Alligator mississippiensis: one gene and its partner. The protein of the gene in region 2 interacts with the protein of the main gene of each other region in a pairwise test. Links are inferred from orthologs where the notes say so. Each region holds a gene or a part of one and is shown on either strand. Other genes may lie near its edges.

What was found. The genes of interacting proteins can lie anywhere in the genome.
Region 1: the proteins of AGR2 (region 2) and FABP2 interact in binary tests that used the Homo sapiens proteins (3 or more experiments, as listed by UniProt). The two-hybrid records come from large-scale screens. The link is inferred for Alligator mississippiensis from reciprocal best matches to the Homo sapiens genes AGR2 and FABP2.

The regions. Positions count from the first base shown.
Region 1 is NC_081825.1:120,594,957-120,605,236, reverse strand, and holds FABP2 (fatty acid-binding protein, intestinal), read right to left. Parts: upstream 4,466-10,280; 5' UTR 4,105-4,465; coding exon 4,038-4,104; intron 2,697-4,037; coding exon 2,524-2,696; intron 1,225-2,523; coding exon 1,117-1,224; intron 473-1,116; coding exon 422-472; 3' UTR 166-421; downstream 1-165. UniProt on the Homo sapiens protein: FABPs are thought to play a role in the intracellular transport of long-chain fatty acids and their acyl-CoA esters. FABP2 is probably involved in triglyceride-rich lipoprotein synthesis.
Region 2 is NC_081828.1:163,709,572-163,719,986, reverse strand, and holds the start of AGR2 (anterior gradient protein 2 homolog), read right to left. Parts: upstream 4,968-10,415; 5' UTR 4,868-4,967; intron 3,218-4,867; 5' UTR 3,210-3,217; coding exon 3,077-3,209; intron 2,736-3,076; coding exon 2,672-2,735; intron 2,454-2,671; coding exon 2,401-2,453; intron 1,249-2,400; coding exon 1,175-1,248; intron 765-1,174; coding exon 701-764; intron 1-700. UniProt on the Homo sapiens protein: Required for MUC2 post-transcriptional synthesis and secretion. May play a role in the production of mucus by intestinal cells. Proto-oncogene that may play a role in cell migration, cell differentiation and cell growth. Promotes cell adhesion.

The DNA.
Region 1 (10,280 bases), on a different chromosome or scaffold from region 2:
AGCCTCAGGAACTTAAGAGCTTGGGTGTTTTTTTAAGTTTTTTTTTAATTATACAATCTCCTAATATGCAGTACACAGAGCAACACGCAGCATGCAGCAACGTACACCTTGCAGCAATGAAAACAAATCACAACTTAACTGTCAGTGCAGAAACAATATTTTTATTTACAAAATGAAAATAGTTCTTGCAGCATTTAAACATGCTACATATCTAAACAGGTATCAATCTGTAGTGCAAATACACCTATTTTCTGTTTATTTAATATTGACAAGACTGAAAATGGCTGTTTTTACATCAGGGATGAGTGACCAATAATTTGGTGTTTGCTTGGGGGGTCTGTATGCATACAGTTGTCATGTATAATATAATTCTTCCACCAGATTTCTGGTTTGTCCTGGACTACCATCTTAGGCTTGATTCTTAACCCCTTTTAAAGATTCTCTTGGCTTCAACTCCTTCATATATATAAATCTGTAAAGTTTAATGAAAAAAAAGAGTTGTTATCAGTGGCTTCTTCCTCTAAGATTTATTTCACAGATCCCACATTATTATCTATCATGGCATTACAATATCAGGGTGCACTCCTGTTGCTACTTTAACAGTAACCCCAGCTCACTCATGTGAGTAGTTCCATCAAAAGCAAATAGAAAGACTGAAGGTTGGAACCGTGGGGTTTTTTTCCCTTTTTTTTGAAAATCTTCCAACCTGTATTCAGGCTGGCGCAGTGTCACACTCTCAGACTGACCCCACATGCTTCTCTACAGTGAATCAGGCCAGCAGACCAACCTCACCCAAAGGATGCAGCTGAGCCTGCACTACTGGCCTCGGAGGCTGGAGGGTTGAGCACCACTGACTTAGAACACATGCACTGAATTTAATCCACATGGGTACGATAATATTTTTTAAAATGGCCATGTTTAATCTGTAAATTTTGAAATTCCAGTGGATCTTTAATTTAAAAATGGCAGATGTTGAACAAACGTCGGGCATTTTTAGAACAAAAAAGATCTTACATACATTTCTCATTTTTCAGCTAGTTTTAACATAGGTCTGAATTCATTATAGTTTGATATTTTACATTAACCAAAAAAACCTCCAGTTGCTTTTTAACTTACCTGAACTAGTTCATCGCCTACTATTTCTCTGAATGCCTTCAGTTCTTTCTTATTATCTTTCCTGTTGAATTTTCCCACAAGCTTATTTCCTTCCATGTTCCAGGAACCCTACAATGTAAAAAAAACAAAAAAATCCAAGAAAATTGTATTACTATTGACTCATATACATATGGCAGGACTGTTAAAATGTTGTTAAAAGCATTAAAAGGAGTTAAAGCAATTGAATATTTTTGCATACTGTCAATAGTCCTGTAAAATGGAGATACACTGAAACTATTTTACCGACTTTCCAACTCCAAGAAATTTCCAGATTTCTTCTAGTTTGAATACTTATTTTTATACATATATATTAAATTGATAGAAGTTTTCTTTCTTCTGAGATCAGGGTACTGGTAAAGTGACCAGCTTTTAGGGAACAAAATCCAGGACAGTGCCAAATACTACCCAGACTTCCCAAACCAGAAGTTGTTTACACCGCTACCCATTGCAGTTATAATAGCTGTGTTCACATGGTGCTGCACACAAACTAGCTCCCTAAATATTTTGGGAGTACACCAATTTGAAACCATTTTTTTCAAATTTGAGCAATAGTCTCTTTTCATGGACTCAGTGGGAATTTTGGAGCATGTTCTGGTACAGAACATTTGGTATGATTTGTAGGTTTAGTATATATATTTAATTTGATGAATAGAATCATAGGGCTGGAAGGGACCCTGAAGGATCATCAGGTCCAGTAAAATACAAATAAGTCTGCCTCTTTCATTGACAGAGACGAGTGCAGCCTCTCAAATAACCACCCACCTTTCATTTCCCATTACATGGAGGGAAGTACCCCAGTCACAAAGGATTTCCAGTGTTCAATGTCAGGACTTTGACACTTTCCCGAAGCTGTGTAGTTGCTAAAAACAGCTGTAATATACTTTTATTAGTTTAGCTCACACTATGGCTATGTCCACAGTGAAGTCACTGCTCTGACAATAGCTTATGTAGATACGCATGATCTAGCTTTAAACAAGCCAACTCAGGTACTGCTGGCAGTAACTCTGGTAGCACAGAGTTCAGTGCAGGCTCATTAGGTGCATACCAAGCTTCTCAGGCAGGCTTTGTAGCTTATGCTAAACTTGGTGCAGTTGAGGTTATCCTGTTATCAGTACAAGCTGCAGTTACATCTTGACTGCAGGCTCAACATGACCTAAATTAGACAGCACTGCTCATTTTGGAGGATTAGATTATTTTTATAGTGAAAATATAAACATTAAGTTGGAGGCCAAATTCTGCTCTCTGCTACATGAATACACTTTACATAGAGTCAAGTTTTACATAAAATCAGAAAGCTAAATAAACCATTAATTCCAGAGATAACTTTAGTAAAAGTACAGGTCCAGCATATGAAAGTGAGCCTCTTACAATGAGTTCAGTCCCATCAGCCAGGCTGTACTCAAATTCAACTCCCAACGTGAATACTATTTCTATGGAACGGAAAGTACTTGATTCTTTGATAGTGAATTTATTTCCCTCTTGCTGAATAATGATTTTCAGGTTGTCATGAGCTCCTAACTTTCTCTTCATTACATTAACACCTAGAAAAACAATCAGAAAGAAACAAATTAAATACATATCTATACCATCAGGTCCAATGGGGGATGAATTTATTGTTAGTTAAGTTAGTGCAGGACTCCCTCAGATCAGAATAACTATGTTTTATCTCTTAACTTGCATTCATTTTGCAAAAGATTAAAGATCTCTACCAGGATAAGGCAGTGAAAAAATCAGTCCCTTTGTTGAATTATTCAGGCCCGTGGAACTTATTCTCTATTTTACTATCTCACTCATCTCCAGGTTTCTAATTTCTAGATTTTCTGCTCTCTGTTTCTTCATGTGAACATTTCCCATGAGTTATAAAGGTCAAACTCATTCCAGACATAAACAAACGTTACTCCCAGTAACTTCAGTTGGGTTCACACCTGAAGTGACTTGGGCACTGTTTCTGTTTCTACAGCCATGAGACCAGTTGTTATTTTCTTTTTCCTAAGCTCTTAATTTCATCACAAATGACTTAAACTCTTAATTCCATTGCAAATCACAACATTTAAATAAAGTAACTGGAAATACATTTCAATTTAAATAGTCATTTGGAAACTAGTCTCTCCTTTTTTGTAAACTGCAGAAGATGATTCCCACTCCAACCTCCCAGAGACTGAAACCAACCACCACTTGTAACTGCAGGCATTTTCAAAAGCAGCTTCCAAATCTGAAAGCCCAGTTTTAGGTGCATCTGTTACATCTCTTTACCAGTTGGCACGTTATTGTGGAACTGTGTCTTTCAATGAGTTCCTCTGCAGTAATCTGCAATGTTTACCATCTAATCCTTAGGGAAACATATAGAATTTAATAGCGCTGAAATCAAGTGAGATTTACAGAAATTAAATAGGACTTTTGGAAATTACTTAAAAACCTGTAGCTTTTAAGATAACATGTCTGCCTTTGTAATATTTAATGAAACTATAGACAGAAAATCATATCCTTGCTGTACAGTCCTATATAAAAGGTATTGGGGTTTTTTTTAGTTCTATAGATTTTTCAGGTAAATTTAGTAAAGTAAGAGAATTCCCAATTTATGCCAAAGTAAATGGAATAATTCTGCTTGCATTGACAGAGTTACTCTGTATTTACTCCAGTGTACCTGAGATCCAAAACTTACACTGGAAATTAGCTGTAGAGGGAAAAAGCTGAAAAATTTGGAGGTGAATTTGCTAGGCCGAGAAGTTAAAAGGCAGTATTAGACAGTCAGCAAATGAGCAGGAACACTAAAAGGCAATTGAAAGGAGGACAAGGAGGGCATCACCAGCATTCAACAATCGCTCTTAAATAGTTGTAGTTAGAATTATCTTTCTGTGACATAATAGAACAGTAAAGCTTACCCATCTCCTCCATGAACTTTTCATAGTTTTCACTTCTGTCTACCTTCCAGGTGCCATCAAATGCCATTTTTCTGATCAAAAAGGGAGATTTCTTGTGGTGCTTCTGCTCAACCTGAGATGTAGTTCAGATTTGCAACAGGAATATATATTCTGTCTTATCTTGCAAACAATTTACAGGATGATGTGGCTGGCTAAAGCTCAAATGGTCACATGACCTCCTCAAGGTCAAGTCATTGTAGCTTATTCAGGTGACCTATAAAGATCTCTCCCTATTCCACCTCACCAAATCCCTCTTCCCAAAAGATGAAAATATCTGTACTGTTCTTTCTTTTGCATATAATAGTTACTAAATTAACTTATAAATGACACTACAGTAGTGGTTTAAATCAGCAAGCCAGGAAAGACAAGGATTTAGGGGCGAATGTATTAAGAAAATGTATTACTGATATTAACCTTATGCTTCTGGGTGTGCCTTTATGTACTGAAGAAAATAAACCAAACGTTTATTCGGGCAACCATACACAAACCTAAACTCAAATGCTAATATGGGTTGTGATTGGAAACTATTCAATATATGTATAACTAGCAAAGGGAAGAAGTAAGTAGAAAGAGCTATTTATTGAGTTCTTGCAAAATATTTATTTTGGAAACTACCTATTCATTTGTAGCCACCTGTGCTGTGCTCATGACAATTATTGAATTGCGGCCTGTATTTTTCCATCAAGTTTCATTCTGAGCAGTATTTGTTGTCCATATCTCATGTTTATACTGATCCAGGTTGAGAAGGGAAGAGATTTTCAATGCCATCCTAAATGGCACTGGTTGGTGACCTATCAGAATTGCTGTGTTTGTACATCTGTAGACATTGACACAATTCAATAGCTGCTGCATACAGCCAACTCTGTTGGATTTCACCGAGAGTTTTGTATGTGCTGTCAAATCCTGCTTGCTCTACTACTATGCTGACTGTTTAAGTGGGCCACCTGTTCATGGGTGAGGCAAGAAGCATTTGACTGATGGAGTCACAAAGGAACCAGGCCTGTACTTTAATTCATGGTTAATTGCAAAGGTGATGATGCCCTGAAAGGCACAACGTAGTGTTAGGAAAAAGAGGCTGTTTTTGAAAAGCCTGTAAAGACACATTTGAAAAGCAGCCCCCCTACTACTATACTAACGCTCCCTCCTAGAATTCAAGCGAGCCAATACCTTGTTGTTCTGATGCAGTTGGCTACATTTATTGGACCAGGTATATAGTTGCAAGACATGTCAGATGAGTTTCATGCCATCTCTCCCAACTACACAGCAGTGCCAATTAAAGATGTTACCAAATAAACCTTGCTTCTTGCATATTCCCTGGACTATCATGGTTACAAACATTGTGATTCTATGGGACTGACCCACCAGTTAGCCTTACTGTGCTTCTCCCCATTACAGTATTCTCCACGCTCCAAAGAGCAAAAGGCTAGAGAAAACACGTACTAGATAAAGTAGATCACATCTGGAACATCCACTGTTGAACTCATGTCACCTGGTTTCACAGCTGAATGTTGAAACATCTCCCTGTGTGGAGGCTGCAATAGACTTACTTCACTATGAATAATTACTACTATGGCAGCGAAGAAATAATCAATAGATTTTGTCAAATTCATGGTCTCCTGGTTTGCAGCTCAAGAAATAATAGGGTATTTTGTAGGAGAGGCTTTTTCAGTCATACACATGCTCACAGCCTGGAAATGCATGAAAGACACGTCAAATGTGTAAGCATTATGAAATACTCATGATAACTATGAGGTCTGAGTGTGCCTTTATGGGGTCAGTTTTAGAGAGAACTGATGGGGATCAGGAGGCGGCACAGAAACCCAGAGGGGATAGCGAGCGCTCTGTACACACAGAGACCCAGACATGCATTTATAGCACACAAGTTGAATGTGGTACATGAGAGGGTTTTGTAAAGACTAAACTGAGATTATATAGGATGCCAGCAATTGTTTTCACCAAACGTTTGAGTCATACACCACTGTTCAAGTGTGGGGTGCTGGCTAAGTGTTAACTCCAGGAAGGTCTAACTCCATGATACCAGACTGAACTCTGGCTTTACACAAGGTAATGGACTTCCCCCTACACACAGAATCGTAACAATGCCAGCTGTCATTGCAGGAGCTGACATTTTGCTAGCACTGCAGATTGCAGCTTGGACAGAACTTTTATTAAAAGTTTAATGTCAAATGAATCAAGAAAGCTATTAGGACAGCCATACCAAAGGAAAACCCCAGTCAGTTTTACTTCATAACCAGTGTCTTAATTCAGCTAACCTACCAGAGAAGAAAATAAAATTAACTCAAATAACATTCTCCCCCCCCCCCCCCCCCCCTATTTCCTCCAACAAAGTAAAAAGAAAACAGTTTTGATGGTCTTAGGGAATAGACAAATGCAAAGTTATGGGGCAGGCATACACTGTCCTAAATATAAGACATCATTTAGATCTCTATAGTAATTTTCACATGCAATTTACATAGCACTAGTGTAAAATGCCCCATTGCAAACTTTGAAAAAAAATCTGTTTCCTTTTGATAGGAAAAGAAAAGATGCTTTTAGTAGTTAAAATATTAGACTTTAAAACTCATTTCCTGCACTGAGAATCCATCGTTTTGGCATTTAGGACAAGACTGAGACAGTATATCTCACCCTAAAGGACTGCACTACCTAAGGAAAGGTTTTGGAATTAGCAGAGAGACAATTCCTTTCCTGCCTTCCTTCCTTATTCTAGGGAAATAAATTTAGAACAGAGGTATTCAAGCTGTTGGGCTCACCCCCCCGGGGGGGCATGAAGGAATGTTAAGGGGGTATAGGCAAGAAATTTGGAAGGAACTGGTAACTACAGCCTTGCCAGGGGGATGAGGGACCGGGAGACCCGGGTAGGTTCTGCCAGCGGGCTGCTGTGCCTCGGGGAGCCTGGGGTGGCAGGCATGCAACCTAGACCTGCAGCAGGGCCAAGGCAGGATGCGCTGGAGCTGTGGCAGGTGGAGCCCACCGAGCCAAGTAGTTCCTAGAATGAGGGGTGCCCTGTGCCTGGCTGTGGTGTTCCTCTGGGGTGATGGGGGTAGGGGGTACAAATAAAATTGTAACTGAAAGGTGGGGCTCAGCTCAAAAAGTTTGAAAACCGCTGATCATGAAGGATGTAACAGGGGCAGATTGCTCCCCCCCAGATCAGTTCCGCTGTACCGCCTGGCTTGAGGTCAGAGGCTGTTATTACAAAACCTAACTGATCCTTGAATGATAACTTACTCCTCTTTGCAATAAGATGTTCTCATTATCTTTTTTATTATATTACGATTTTTCTTTGACCTTTGAAATTATCAATCTCCATATATTATATATAGTGTTTTATTGTTACAGATTCCTTGTGTCCAGTTATAGTTCATACTCATTTTATTGTTGGCTAACAAATTATTAACTTCATTTTCTTTGCCATAATGATTCAACTATTACTGAATTTTGTTAAATTCAATAAAGAGAAAAATGTGCAATTATTTTCTTCAATCTCAACTTCATCTGTATTGCAATGCTTAACATTTAAAGTACTTTTATATGCAGAAAAGTAGAAGTTTATTCTTTTTCTAAATACCAGCAGAATTGAATATAGTCTTCCATGGGACCAATGGAACATTTGGTTCACATGTTTTAGGGTGCATATGAAGGCCAGGCAGGAGACAGACCATCAGCAGTTTGTTTGAGAATTTTGGGCTAGATGCCTACTTCCTGCGTATGCATTGCTCTCTCTCTCCCCTCTTTGAGAAAGCTGTTGCCTGGTTTTACAGTGTCCCAGGCTCCCACAGAAATGAACTGGTATCCTAAGAAACTAAAATTAAGAAATATTTGTTTTGCCTTTTGCGGTGGATAAAGATGACTTCTTAGACCTAACCCACCACTTCCCCCCAAAAAAGCATTATTTAATTTTATTTTATGTCAGAGGTATATGTCAGTTTCTCACTTTTGATTTCCTACTGGGAGAATTAATGATATTTTGCAGGAGCTAAATATTAATGTCAGGCAATGCTTCAGGATGAGGTGCAGCTAACTGGTGATTTTATTTTGGCTAGTGCCTATTCAACTTCAGATCATTGGGTGTTCAGCAGAATTTCTCAAAGCTGCTCTGTCAAGTTTGTGTCAAAAATTCAAAAAGTTCAAAAGTTCTCTCTCCCAGATATCTACTGGATAAAAAAAGGGTTATTTCAGGATACGGTGAGATACCTGATAAAGATCTCTCACCATTTTTTTTTTGCATGGTTTGTAGGAAAACCATGGGTTTCCAGATCTATCTTATTCCCATGTAGCCTCCTGACCATTTTAAAAAGGAGCGCCTTAAACTTTCTAAATCATGGGAATGGTAGAGATAATTAAAATGGGTTCAGGATTCACCAAAACTCCTGTGTGCCCCAGATAGACTTTTCTTCTCAACACATTGCACTTGTGGGTGCACTCTTCCTCCCAGGCACTCACTCCAGTTAGGCTTTTGTTTTTGTGCCACCCAGGAATCTTTGACTTTTCTCACAGGTGAAGCTGAAGATCCAAACCAAACCCACCTGCCTGTGGTCAAATATCAGTTGCACTCTGTACTGTCCCCTATAGGTTGTTGCTTTGAGTCTCTGCTGAACTTTCTCCTCATGAGATCTAAACCCCAAAGGGGTTCATTAATGTGTCATAGTTACTGCACATTAAGTTTAGTACTTGTATAACCAAGTACTAAATCAATGCACAGTAACTGGTGCTACTGTGCAGTAGCACTGGTGCATGGCTTTTTAGTGATGCTAACTGTGCAGTAGTGTAGATTTTAAATAAATAAGGATAAAATATTATAAAAAAGGGGGCTCTTCCTCCCCAGTACCTTCACAATATAAAATATATATAAAGTATAAAAAAATATATAAAATACAAAAATAACAACTGCAAATCTGCACAATATAGTCTTCCACTCTCTTTATTTTTATTTTTACTGGTTGCGGCCCCTAGCGAGTTCCTCCCATGAAAGTTTTCTGCAGGGAGGGGGAAAAAGGAAGAAGAGGAAGAGGAGAAGGGTTTGGAGCACAGTTGAAAAACTGGACTTTTGCCCCCCTCAACACACAAGGTTGAAGGTTGGTGGGACATATTACCTATTACCTAAATATCACCTGGGACACTGCATATGCTGGGCGTTGGGTCTGGTAGGCAGTGTCCTGCCCCTGGACTTTTGGTCGTGGTTCTGAAATGGAATGTGATGAAGTTCAGAAGGTTTGCAGTGTTGAAGGAAATCATGTAAACACTCACTCCAAAGTTTCAAACTACTTGCAGAAAACTTACCATTACAGTGTTGCTGCTGCAGCTGTCATCAGGAGCTATGCCCACATGGCGGGAGGTGTGGGGGGCACAGATGGAGGGTATGTGTGGGGGCAGGAGGACATACACTATAGGTGGCGGGGGGGCAGAAGAATTAAGAGGGGGTAGTAAATTAAGAGAATATTGGCTTCCTCCCCCATTTCTTTTTGTTACAATAAAAATAGTAATTTGCAGACCTGATCTGAACCTGTGGCCACTCCACTGTGTGCTGTGAGTGAGGGGTGAGGAGTGAACAAGGGTAAAAAAAAAAAAAAATCACAGTGGCACCTGCTGGCTAAAGGCTGGAACACAGCGCCACCTCATGGCAAAGGGGATTCATTAGAAGTCTTCAGAGCCTGTCTGTTTGAATGAACAAATCCATAGCTGGGGCAGTGTAACTGGGGAGCGTCGCATAATAACTCATCTCCGAGTAGTCTTAGTTAAAGGCTCGAAGTGGATTTTTAGAGCAGGAGGACATCCTGGGTCATGCAAACACAAACACAATTGCGTTGGTGTAAACAAGAAATGTCGTTTCATCTTCACACGCCCTTAATAGTACTGTCAGGTAGTATATTACATGGTTTTTGCCCTGCATGCTACTGAGCAGTTAACATCACATGTAGATGTGCCCAAGGATCCTGTTTAAATCTGCCTCAAAGATCTGACACACTTAGAGCACTTAGATCAATGTTCATTCATTTTTATACATAGGGATTACCTCATTTGTTCAATTCAGTTTGAGACAGCTCTCTGGCAGGGTCGCATGGGTGCAAGCCCGTTATGCCCCCAAGAGCAAAGGACCCTGGTGGACCCCTCCGGCAGACCCTGATCTCACCCCCAGCATGGAGCTGGGAGGTAAGTGGAGCCTGTAGTGGGAGGGCACTAGTTAGG
Region 2 (10,415 bases):
TCTTCAGAAATACTAAAAAGCAAAATGGAGTCAATAATCTATACATCTTGACAGAGTTGACAGACCCTAAGTACATCTTTACACACCCTAACTATATCCATACAGGCTTAAGGAGACCTATAGAATGAACTTCTGGACCAATGGCCTGACTTCAGGTGATTACAAGCCTAGGACTTCACCTATCACAGGTGAGACTGAAAGCTGATGGTACACTGATGTCATAAGTCCTGTTTTATCCTGAACACTAGTAAAAACCAAAACTTGAAATGACCATTACTTGAATAAAGTGCATAAGCAATGTGCAGTGCATTTGCCAAAAGGAATTCTATTGCATTTTAACTAGGTTGCCTCTTCTACATTTATAAAAAATCCTAGACATCTCCCAGCTTAAGTTGATCTACAATCCTCGTTTGCTTACTGATCTCTGTTATGGAATGCATTATTCTATTTTTCGTAAGTCATACATTTTTCTTTATTACTATGTGAGCCTTTTCCAAAATAATACCCAACGTGTCACTCTTTTTGGTTTTTCTCATCCATCCCAGCAAATCAAATATAAAGATTCCATTCTCCTGCTGAATTAATTCCCATTAATAATGCTGAGGGTTTTATGTTTTTGTCACATTACAGAACCTAGTCTCTGCAGCTTTACAATAGATAGCATTATTCTTGAGCCTCTTTGAGAGTGCCAGGTACTCACCAATAAACATAATTCGAGGGACATACTGGCCATCAGGTGAAAGATGCTTGTCTGTTGTTTCATACTGGAATAAATGATAAGGTTTTAAATCAAGAGTGCTGTTAGTCATGCTGTATAGGTAATATAAACAGAACGTTTAATTTCCAGTTCATAATTTGGTGGCTATAAAATTAAAATTCATTTTAAAGATTATGTTTTAATATGTGAGGAATACATTAATGAGAGAACAATGCTATAACTGCAAGGCATCTCATAATTAATTGTTTTATTGGTATAAATATTTTATAGTCATTATATATTATTATAATAGGTAAAGATTTATTGCTAAATCTATCCCTATTGCAGCATAGTCATTTCCCCTTGGCAAGTGATGCCAAACATTAACCTTATCCAAGACACTATAAAGATGGAAGTTTATTGGTTCCAGACAGTGTTATAAAAGAGAGCTTTAATAAAGTGTAGCTGAATACTTACAACAAGATTAATAAGAACAAACTTTTCAGCTAATTTCTGTATTTCTTTGTGTGCAGCAAATACTTTCTTCAGTGCTAGAACATAGATGCGAATGATTGTTAAAAAAAAACAAAAGCCAGGAAGGAAATTAACCATTTATCTTTGTCAAGAAACAATACAGAGTCAGATCTGGAGTGATTGGTGGATTCTCCATGCTATAATATACACATCCAATGCAGGGTTCAAATTACACTTTGACTCTTGCAGGGGTCTGCAAAAAAAATTAGGCGGCCCATCACAATACCCCAATAAAATCAGACCCCCCCCCCCCCCCCAAGTTATGATTTTCAAATCTTACAGGAGAGCTCTCATCTCTTACGGCAGGGCTCAGCCCCCATGAGCTCCCTTGTAGTTCAAACCCTGAATTCAAGTTAGAAAACGATTATAGTGACCAGCTGAAAAGGCTGTAGGTGCCTTTCTTTTAGCGTGTTGGTGAACAGTAGCTGGAACAGACCTTAAGTAACAAAGGCAAGTGGCACAAAACTGCGTTCCTGTAGTCTAAACTCTTTCTAACTGTGCATATGAATAAAGGTGTTGAGAAAGTGTTATTTCTAGATATGGACTGAGAAAGATGCAGGCAATTCTCACTCCTAAGAGGAGTCTAAGCCAAACACTCTGAAGTTAGTTCTGGTTTGGTTTACAACTTTACAGGTTGAGGGCTGTTCTCAAAACTGAATTGTTTGGATGGTCCGTTAGGTGCACAGGGATCTCCAAGGAAATGGAGGGCTTTTCATGAGTAATAGGAACTAATCATATAGATGACTTATTGCATTAGGGCTCTAGTATGAATATGGCTGGAAGTCTTGAGAAAACAGATGTCCCCAATATGGCAGAAATCTCTTAGAACTTGAAATTTCTACACTGTCATGTCTGCATCCCATTGTAAATGGTAACTTTGATCAGGAGTGAGAATTGCATGCATCTTGCTCAGTCCATCTCTAGAAATAACACTTTCTCAACACCTTTATTCCCAGCCTTAGATTAAATTTGCATCATTCTCACAAAATTGAAAGCTAATGTATCATGATTTGAACCTGTACTGCACAAGATTAAAATGTCTGCAATTCTGAAAGCAACACAGGTTGCTTGCTTAGGTTAGTATTTCAATGAGGTGTTTTTAGAAGAAAAACGGGTGTTTTTTTAGCAATATAAAGGTGTAAAGCAAGATGTTTCTACTCAAAACTTACCTTGACTGTGTGGGCAGTCCTCTAAATGATGAATAATCAATATGGGTTTGTTACTGAAACAGAAGAAGTCTTATTTCAGATTTTTACTATTACCAATCTTAAAGCCAGTACTTATGTGGAAAAACATCTTAGACTGTAAAATCAGTTAATAAATGGACACATTTCTAAGTTCTGGCAACTTCTCTTTTCTTGCTATTATTCATGTAAATATAGATATCACACTAGATGGCGCCATTGAAACCTATCAAAAGAATAGGTAAAGTTGATTTACCCAGACTTGGCTCTAAACAAGGCTTCTTCATAAGTCTGAGTCCAGATCAGCTGATCACCCCAACCTAAAGGCAAATGACAAAGAGGAGTCACTGTCAAAGTTGTTGGCGATGAGAAAACTATTTTATAGGTCAAGTGTAAACATAAAGGCTACTGAGAACTACTTTGAGAATGTCTTGCCAAAAGGGAATTTAAATGCAATGAAGACAAAATGACTTGTAGAAAAAATATCAGGAAAGTGTATTTCAAGTGGCAAGAGACTGTTTTTTTTTTAAATATAGGTAGCTGAAAGGAAAAGAGCAAAGTGTCAAGGAACTATTAATAATGCAAGAGGAATAAATATTAGGAGATTAAAGGGTTAAAGATTCTTATGGAAGTAGGGCAGTGAGAATGAACAACATTTTACCTCTGGAGAGAGTTTGAGGCAATTTTGGTTTATACTCATGTGTGTCCTTTTTGTCCTTAGCCCCAAAATCTTTAGCAAGGGTATAGGCAACAGCAACAAGCAGCAGGAACATTGAAATATAATTCTTCTCCATGACTAGTGCTGAAAAAGATAATTGACATTTATAATGCTGCCATTTTTCACACTTCTAACTGGATAAGTGTTTAAGAGGGTGCTACATATAAGCTCTCAGTCTACAGTTAAGTCATAAAAATATATCAGGGCTGGGTCACTGCTGGAATGAACTGCTATAGGTAGATTGTGTTCCTAAAAATGTAATGAATAGTCAGACTGGTTTAGCAAATATTTTTTAATATCTCAGGAACTGGTATAATTTTGTTTTAAGTTACTTGTTGCCAGTTTTAAATAAGCTTATCTCATCTAGATGTAGTCAGCCTAGAGACCCACTTTGATGCTATATCTCTTTTACTCCCTCTCCTGTTTTTCTTGACAGTACTACAAATACTGAATTAGCTCAATGAAACAATGGAAGTTCAGCATTTTCTATAATACCCATCATGTTAGAATATAAAGGCTTTTGCAAATAATAATAAGTATTTCTGAGACCTTTCTATAAAATCCATCACTGCAAAAATTAAGCACTTCCCAAGTGTTTTGTTCAGGGAAGTTAGGTTGAGGAGGTCATTTCCTCAGTTTTGCAAATGAAACAATGAAGTTACAGGGAGTTACTTGCCAAAGCCTTCAAAATATGTCTTGAATTCTAATATTGTTCTCTAAATCTTTCCCTTAAAGCCACACAATAATACAGTTTTCAAGAAATAATGGTTTCATTTAGAACACTGAGGATTGGTTTAGAAATGCAATGTATCACTTCCAGGGATGCTTTGCTACTGAAATCTCTTCCTCTGCCCAATTGTACGAGTGAGAATGAAGCAGGTCATGTTAGATGACATGTTTCTCAGTTTTCTAAATGAAATGATTCTGCCAGTGAATTCACTTAGCATGATCCAACTTTCTCATTCACTTGTCACTGGATGCTAGGATACTGAGCTAAGAGGTACACAGAAAAGCTTAAGGTAAGCAGACATTCTAAAGCATAGGAACATCAACGTGGGTGCATAAGCACCTTTTAAAATGCAGGTTAGAAAAGTGGAAATGTGATACCATTCAGCCTCGCTTTGCCAGAAGCCCTGGGAGGACTTGCTTTCCTCAGGCTGAATAAATGGTACAGCATTCTTTGCCGTTGTAATGCTCAGTAGACCCTGACTATCTATGTAATCACAGCTTCAGAGCCATGCAAAATGCAGTACCAGGTTTTGGACATACACTGACCTTTACATTAAAAAAAAAAAAATTGTTCTCTGAAAGGACGAGGTTTGAATGAGTCTTGCTTAGAAGCCCACTGGAGATTCTAAAGATAGTTTAATCAGATCAGTACAGATGAAGGTCTCCTTTAAAAAGAACAAAGGGGTGCCGGCCAACCAGGAAAAGCAAGAACAAACAAATCTCAGGATGATGCAGAACTGAAAGTAAAGGCCAAGAAGCACTACACCTAAAGCAGCATCTGTGCAAAGCTAGGTATAGTCATTCTAAGCTGTTAAAAAAAATCATTCTAATTCTTTTAACATGAAGAGACAGCATTATTCCATCTATTCCCCCATGGCGAGCTCAACTGTAAGTTGCTCCATTCCTTGCTTTCTGTCTGTTACCTGCTGCAGTAATAAGTAACCTGAACATAAAGCTCACAGGATTCTAACAGGTACATTTCTAAGCCAGTGCTCACAGCCTTACCTTGTTTGCTCTCCCACCTGTCTGAAGAGTTATGAAAGTGTTCCAAGTTTCATTGTGAACCTCTAGGGCTCATAATGCCTACTTATGTACCTTGGCACACCTCAACTCCACCCACGAGCTCTGTATTTGAATAGTATCCCCAGGGAGCTAAACTTCCCCTTTTTTTAATAAAGAAAAACATTTTCAGGATCAATTAGTTTTAATCAGCAGCCTATTTGATATTCAGTCTTTCATAGCAATGACAATGTGCAAAAATGGAAACATGCTAATATGAATTTTGCAGTGTTTTTAACAGAGATTTTTACAACTGGGCAAAGAGCCAAGTCCAGGTAAGCTTAAATCAAGACTCCTGATTTGCCTGAAGGCTGATTTGTCTTTATGTGATTGGCTGAAAGTTATAGCTTGGATCACAGCTCTTTCATTTCTTTGAGAAACTAAAATGATGATTCAGAACTCCAGGTTTCCATCAATGTAGTGATTAAACAATCATTTACTCCGTGTATGGTAGTCTAATGCCGAGCAACGATATGGGTTTTTTTAACAATCTAAAACAAATAGGAACATTTTTAATGAACCATCATACAGGCCCTTGAAGTTATCAGGTTATTTAGAAACTTTAAAACCTATTTAAAAAGTATTTAAAATTGAGTCCTCTTATTGTTCTATGTAGTAAAGTAACTCTATAAATACTTGTTTTAGGCACAGCATAAAAATCCATCGTTTTATATTTCTGATATACATATAGCACAGTATAGCGGTCAGAAAAATGCTAGAATCATTTCCTTTGCTGCAGTATTTATACTGAACAATTTCCAGAGTATGGAAGATATCTTTCGAAGGATGATTTATTGTGATCCTGCCATGGGCATGATATATAGGGTGACCATACATCCTGTTTTTCCCCCAGACGTCCCATTTTAAATAAGTGTCCTTGGGATCCAATTGGTTTGGTGGAATGAATGCTTTTGTCCCATTTTCAGCTGGAATGCAGCAGTGGCAGTGCTCTCTAGCTGGAACTGTGATAGGGCAACTGCTAATCCTTCGACATCCCACAACACACTTCTCTCCAGCCTCTCACCTAAGACCATAGCTTGGATACAGCTAAACATAGTGGAGACTTACAGGGTGGAGTGGGGCAGAGTAATGCAGAATGCCAGCGAACCGTTGAAAAGGAAGCGCTAGGGTAACCCCCCCCCAACCACACACACACTTTTCAAGTTGTCCTGTTTTGAGACTTAGGAAACATGGTCATCCTAATTATGTGTTAAAACTTTAATATATGCCATTTGTTGTATCCTTGATACATTTTGCTCTGTAGATGGTTTTTTTTAATGAACATAGAACAATTGTCACTGGTGAGAAGGATCCGTTAATCTATGTAGATAGGGAAAGAAAATCCATCACTTCTTTTTCTGTCTCTCAAATTGACTATATTTTCAGGTACTCATTACTGAAAAGGGATTTCCAAATATCTTCATGCTAAGTTTATTCAAAAGCAAATATCACCTTGTGCTTCAATACATCAATATTTATTTTTTAGCTTTCCCAACATTTTGCAAAATGTATTTAGGGAAAAGAATCAGCAGAGACAAGGTCATGATCTCAGTTGATGTGTAATTACTATGTTTCTTAGGAATGTACTACAGTACTACAATGAGAAATTACATTTTATTTATTAACTGCTTATTAGGTATAGAATAAGAAAGCAAGCTAAGCATTTAAAATGGTCAACAATTTGTAAATCCATATCAAAGTGTTTATTAAGACCTTTATGCATAGATTGGTAAGTAATCAAAATGAGAGAGAAATATATTACATATAAGTATTTTATTTTGCTCCTGTATGGCTGTCATAAGACACAAAGCTATATCTTATAGATATTGCAGCATATGTTCACACTGCATTCACTCAAAAACCATGTTTTTGGAAATGCCTAAAATTAGACTCCTAAAGCCACAATTAAGCACCTGAAATCCATGGGAGCTCCTGAGTACTCACTTTTGAAAATCAAATCACTTCAGATAGTTCAGTGTGCCTAGCGTTAAACATTCATTTCTGAACTCTTGACCTTATTTCAGTGAGTCTGTGAGCTTTCCAAGTCTTGATTTCATGCATGTTGACTGAATCTCTTCCCAAACTGCACTCAGTAGCAGTCAGTAACATAAGAACAACTTTTTTTTTCTGTATACCTGTACCCTGAGACATCTATATGATTAACATGTACAATCCTACTCGGATACATTTTAATTGTCCTCCATGTGTATGTAAGCCTGAAAATGACCAGAAATCCCAAGACGGTACAAACAGCTGACTAGCATATGCTTTAGTATGAATTCCAGACTGCTTATCTGTGATCACTTCCCCCACCGTGGTGACCATGTCACCTGTCCTAGAAGAATTGTTCCAGGAAAATCTGGGTGAGTGGTCCTAGCCAGGAGGCTTTTCCTGGTTTTCTTAAAGGAGCAGTTACATCCTATTCCAGTTAATATTTACCTATAGCAAAATAAACTGTTGGAAAATCATCGACTCTGAAATGTGGCATTCTCTTGTTTTGACCTCAATATATTTATACATCAGGGCTGCCTATATGCTCTGGTTGTGAGCCTCCTATTTATTGCTATATTTCTTGCATATGTATCCCACAGAGCAAGAGTTCATCAGGTTTCAAAGAATATATTGAGTACATTCCAAAAGAAAATGGAAGGGGCTGTGTATGTTACTCGGTTATGAATACTAATCCCCAGCCAAGGGAAAAATGTTGGAGGGAAATTAAACAGCCTTTTTTGTAGGAAAAAACACCCAATTATATTGAAGTACTTAAGAGAGATTGTTTAGAAAGGCTACAACATTTGGAAAGATATGGATTTTGCTATTTAACAGCTTGAAGTAAGGTAGCAAAGCATATAGGTGGCCCTACTGTATAAATATACTGAGGTCAAAACAAGAGAATGCCACATTTCAGAGCTGATGATTTTCCAACAGTGTCAAAGCAGTAATAAGATTTGGTAATTGGCATTAGAGTCTATTTACGTGAGATACTGAGTAGATTGTCTTTTTTTAGTGGATACTTATATTCACCAAAAATTGCACCTTTGATCCTCCCCAAATGATTTGCAAACTTCAGGACAAATGTCTCCAATTGTTTTGCTGGAATAAAGTTTCGGGCTACATTCACAAAAATAAGGATACTATTGTCTAATTTACCTAATAACCAGCACTTACAGCAGGCAGCCACAATCCTCTCTTCTGTCTGTCTAGACTTGAGTCCACTTCTCTCCGGAATATTCTGGAATATGTCCTAACTTACATGCTGGGGTTGGGGGCTACTTTCTGTCTTTCCTGTTGCCAGTGATGGTGTCTCAGTTTGTATAAATAGTTGTATATAAAGCCTATTGCTTAGAGCTTTGAAAGGTTAGGGACCTAACTCTTGACACCTGTTGGAGAACAGAGAGAAGAGTGGCCAGAGCTCCCTGAGACCACCAGACAGGCAGAAGTCCTACAGGGCAAAGGAGCCCTCTGTCAGCATCTCTGGGGAGCTGGGAGCCAGGCCTCATTTGCATGTTGGTTATATGACAATTTAGGGCGTTTTCATTAACATAAAGTTACATTTTGAAGTTGGGTTTATAAAATTCTGTTATCCATATCTGAAAATAAATGGAAAAGAGAACTATGTCAAATGTGACTTAGGCAAAGCATCACACCTTAAAATGACTGCAGCCTCACATGGTGGGGTAAAGGAGCATGGGTAAAGTAAGGAGAAGGAAAGACGAGTCTTCCACTCAGGAGTCTTTCTTTTGTGGCAGAGCGGGGGGTCCTACATGCTCTCGACTCCTTTCTGAGGAGCTGAGATGCTGCAGTAGAGCGCTGAGGGGATGGCCAGACTTGCTGCAGAACTGGTAAGTAGAGTTGCAACAAAAGAAGCAGTTTTGAGGTGACAAGTGGACACCAGATGGCTAGGCATGGAACAGTTTGGAGGAGCTAAGATTGCTTGGGATAAAATGGCCAAGAACAACTGATGGACTCTGAGTGCCAGTACCAGACCAATGACCATTTCGCAGCTGGGATTGGTGGTACAGCACCTGGAACTGTAGTGAGGGGGCAGACTACCCCACATTTAGACTCTCCCAACCTAGACAGTGAACTGTGAATAGGGCATAAGAAGAAGAGGAAGTTAGGGGATAAACACTGCATCAGCCACTTGCAGCTAAGGGAGAAGGAGAAGGGGGTTGGGTTTGTGACTATTGCTAGGGCACTTTGGTTGACAGTAAGGGCAGGAAGTCTTATTTAACATTGTTGGAGTTTTGATTTGGTTTTCCTAAGTCTCTAACATGTTTCCCTTATTCTGTCCAGTAAGCTCCTGTGTGGGGTGACCATCATAGAGGACAGTCTGGTTGTCCTCTGTCCTCTGTTGATACGAAACCCGATGCCTTTATGTCCTCTATTTTTCTCTTGACATAAAGGCACTGGGTTTCGTATCAATAGAGGGCAGAGTAGCAGAAAACGGGAATGTCCTGTATGATGGCCACCCTACTCCTGTTTGTGGTTGCTAAACTGTAGCCCCTAAAGTAAGTGGTTTGCAACTCTGTGAATCGTACTGGGCCCATTAGGTGGTACATGTTCATACTACAGCACAACATCTTGACTTCTACTTTGCTATATGATCCTACAAGCCAAACATGTGCCCTGGCATGTGAAAAGGCAGTCATTGTAAAAAAGTGAGCAGCAGAAGTTCCAAGTGATGGCTAAAGAACAAGAGATACCCATTCTGTTGTGTCTGTGAAGGGGATGTTTGGGAGGAAGTACCTCTCCCATGTGAGGTGTGCGGGAAGCAGGGCCTGGGGCTGGGGCTACACTACTGCTGACTGCCCTGGAGGTGCTGCAGCAGAAAGTAAGGGCAAGCAGATGGACAGGGAGTGGAGGAGGGGGGCAGGCACAAGCAAGGGGGAGCAGGTAGGGGACGGAGGGGGGCAAGGAGCTGGGGAACAAAGTGCAGGGGTCCGCCCCTTCCCCCCACTGCTGCTTTCACTGCCATAGCAGTAGGAAAGACAAATTTAAGACAACCTTCCACTAATTAGGATTTATTCATGGAAAATTATAACAGATTTGTAATTTTCCATGTATAGGATCTAATTATTGAGGGGGGAGGGTCACCTTAAATACAAAGTTATTTTGGATTTGGGTGAATATGGTATATATGATCTGTAACAATGATAGGAATCTAGTGTTCCATCTCCTAGATGAGTCTCTCTCTTTCTTGTTCTTTCTCTGTCATAATATTTGTTTAAGTATTCCATGGAGGGTGGAATAGCTTCAATAGGGGAAACTGAGACCACCCCCCCCCCCCAAAATATATTTTTTCATAGCTTTAGTGCAGGGTGACCTGAACACGCATTGGCTATAATTAGCACAGGTGTCATTTATACTTGCTAAGGAGCTGGCCTCCTGTCTTAAATCATGATCCATCACCCAGTTCACTCTGGTGAATCCTTCCCTCAGTCTGTATTACCTGCAGCCTAAATGAACACCAAATATACAGTTCATATATTTT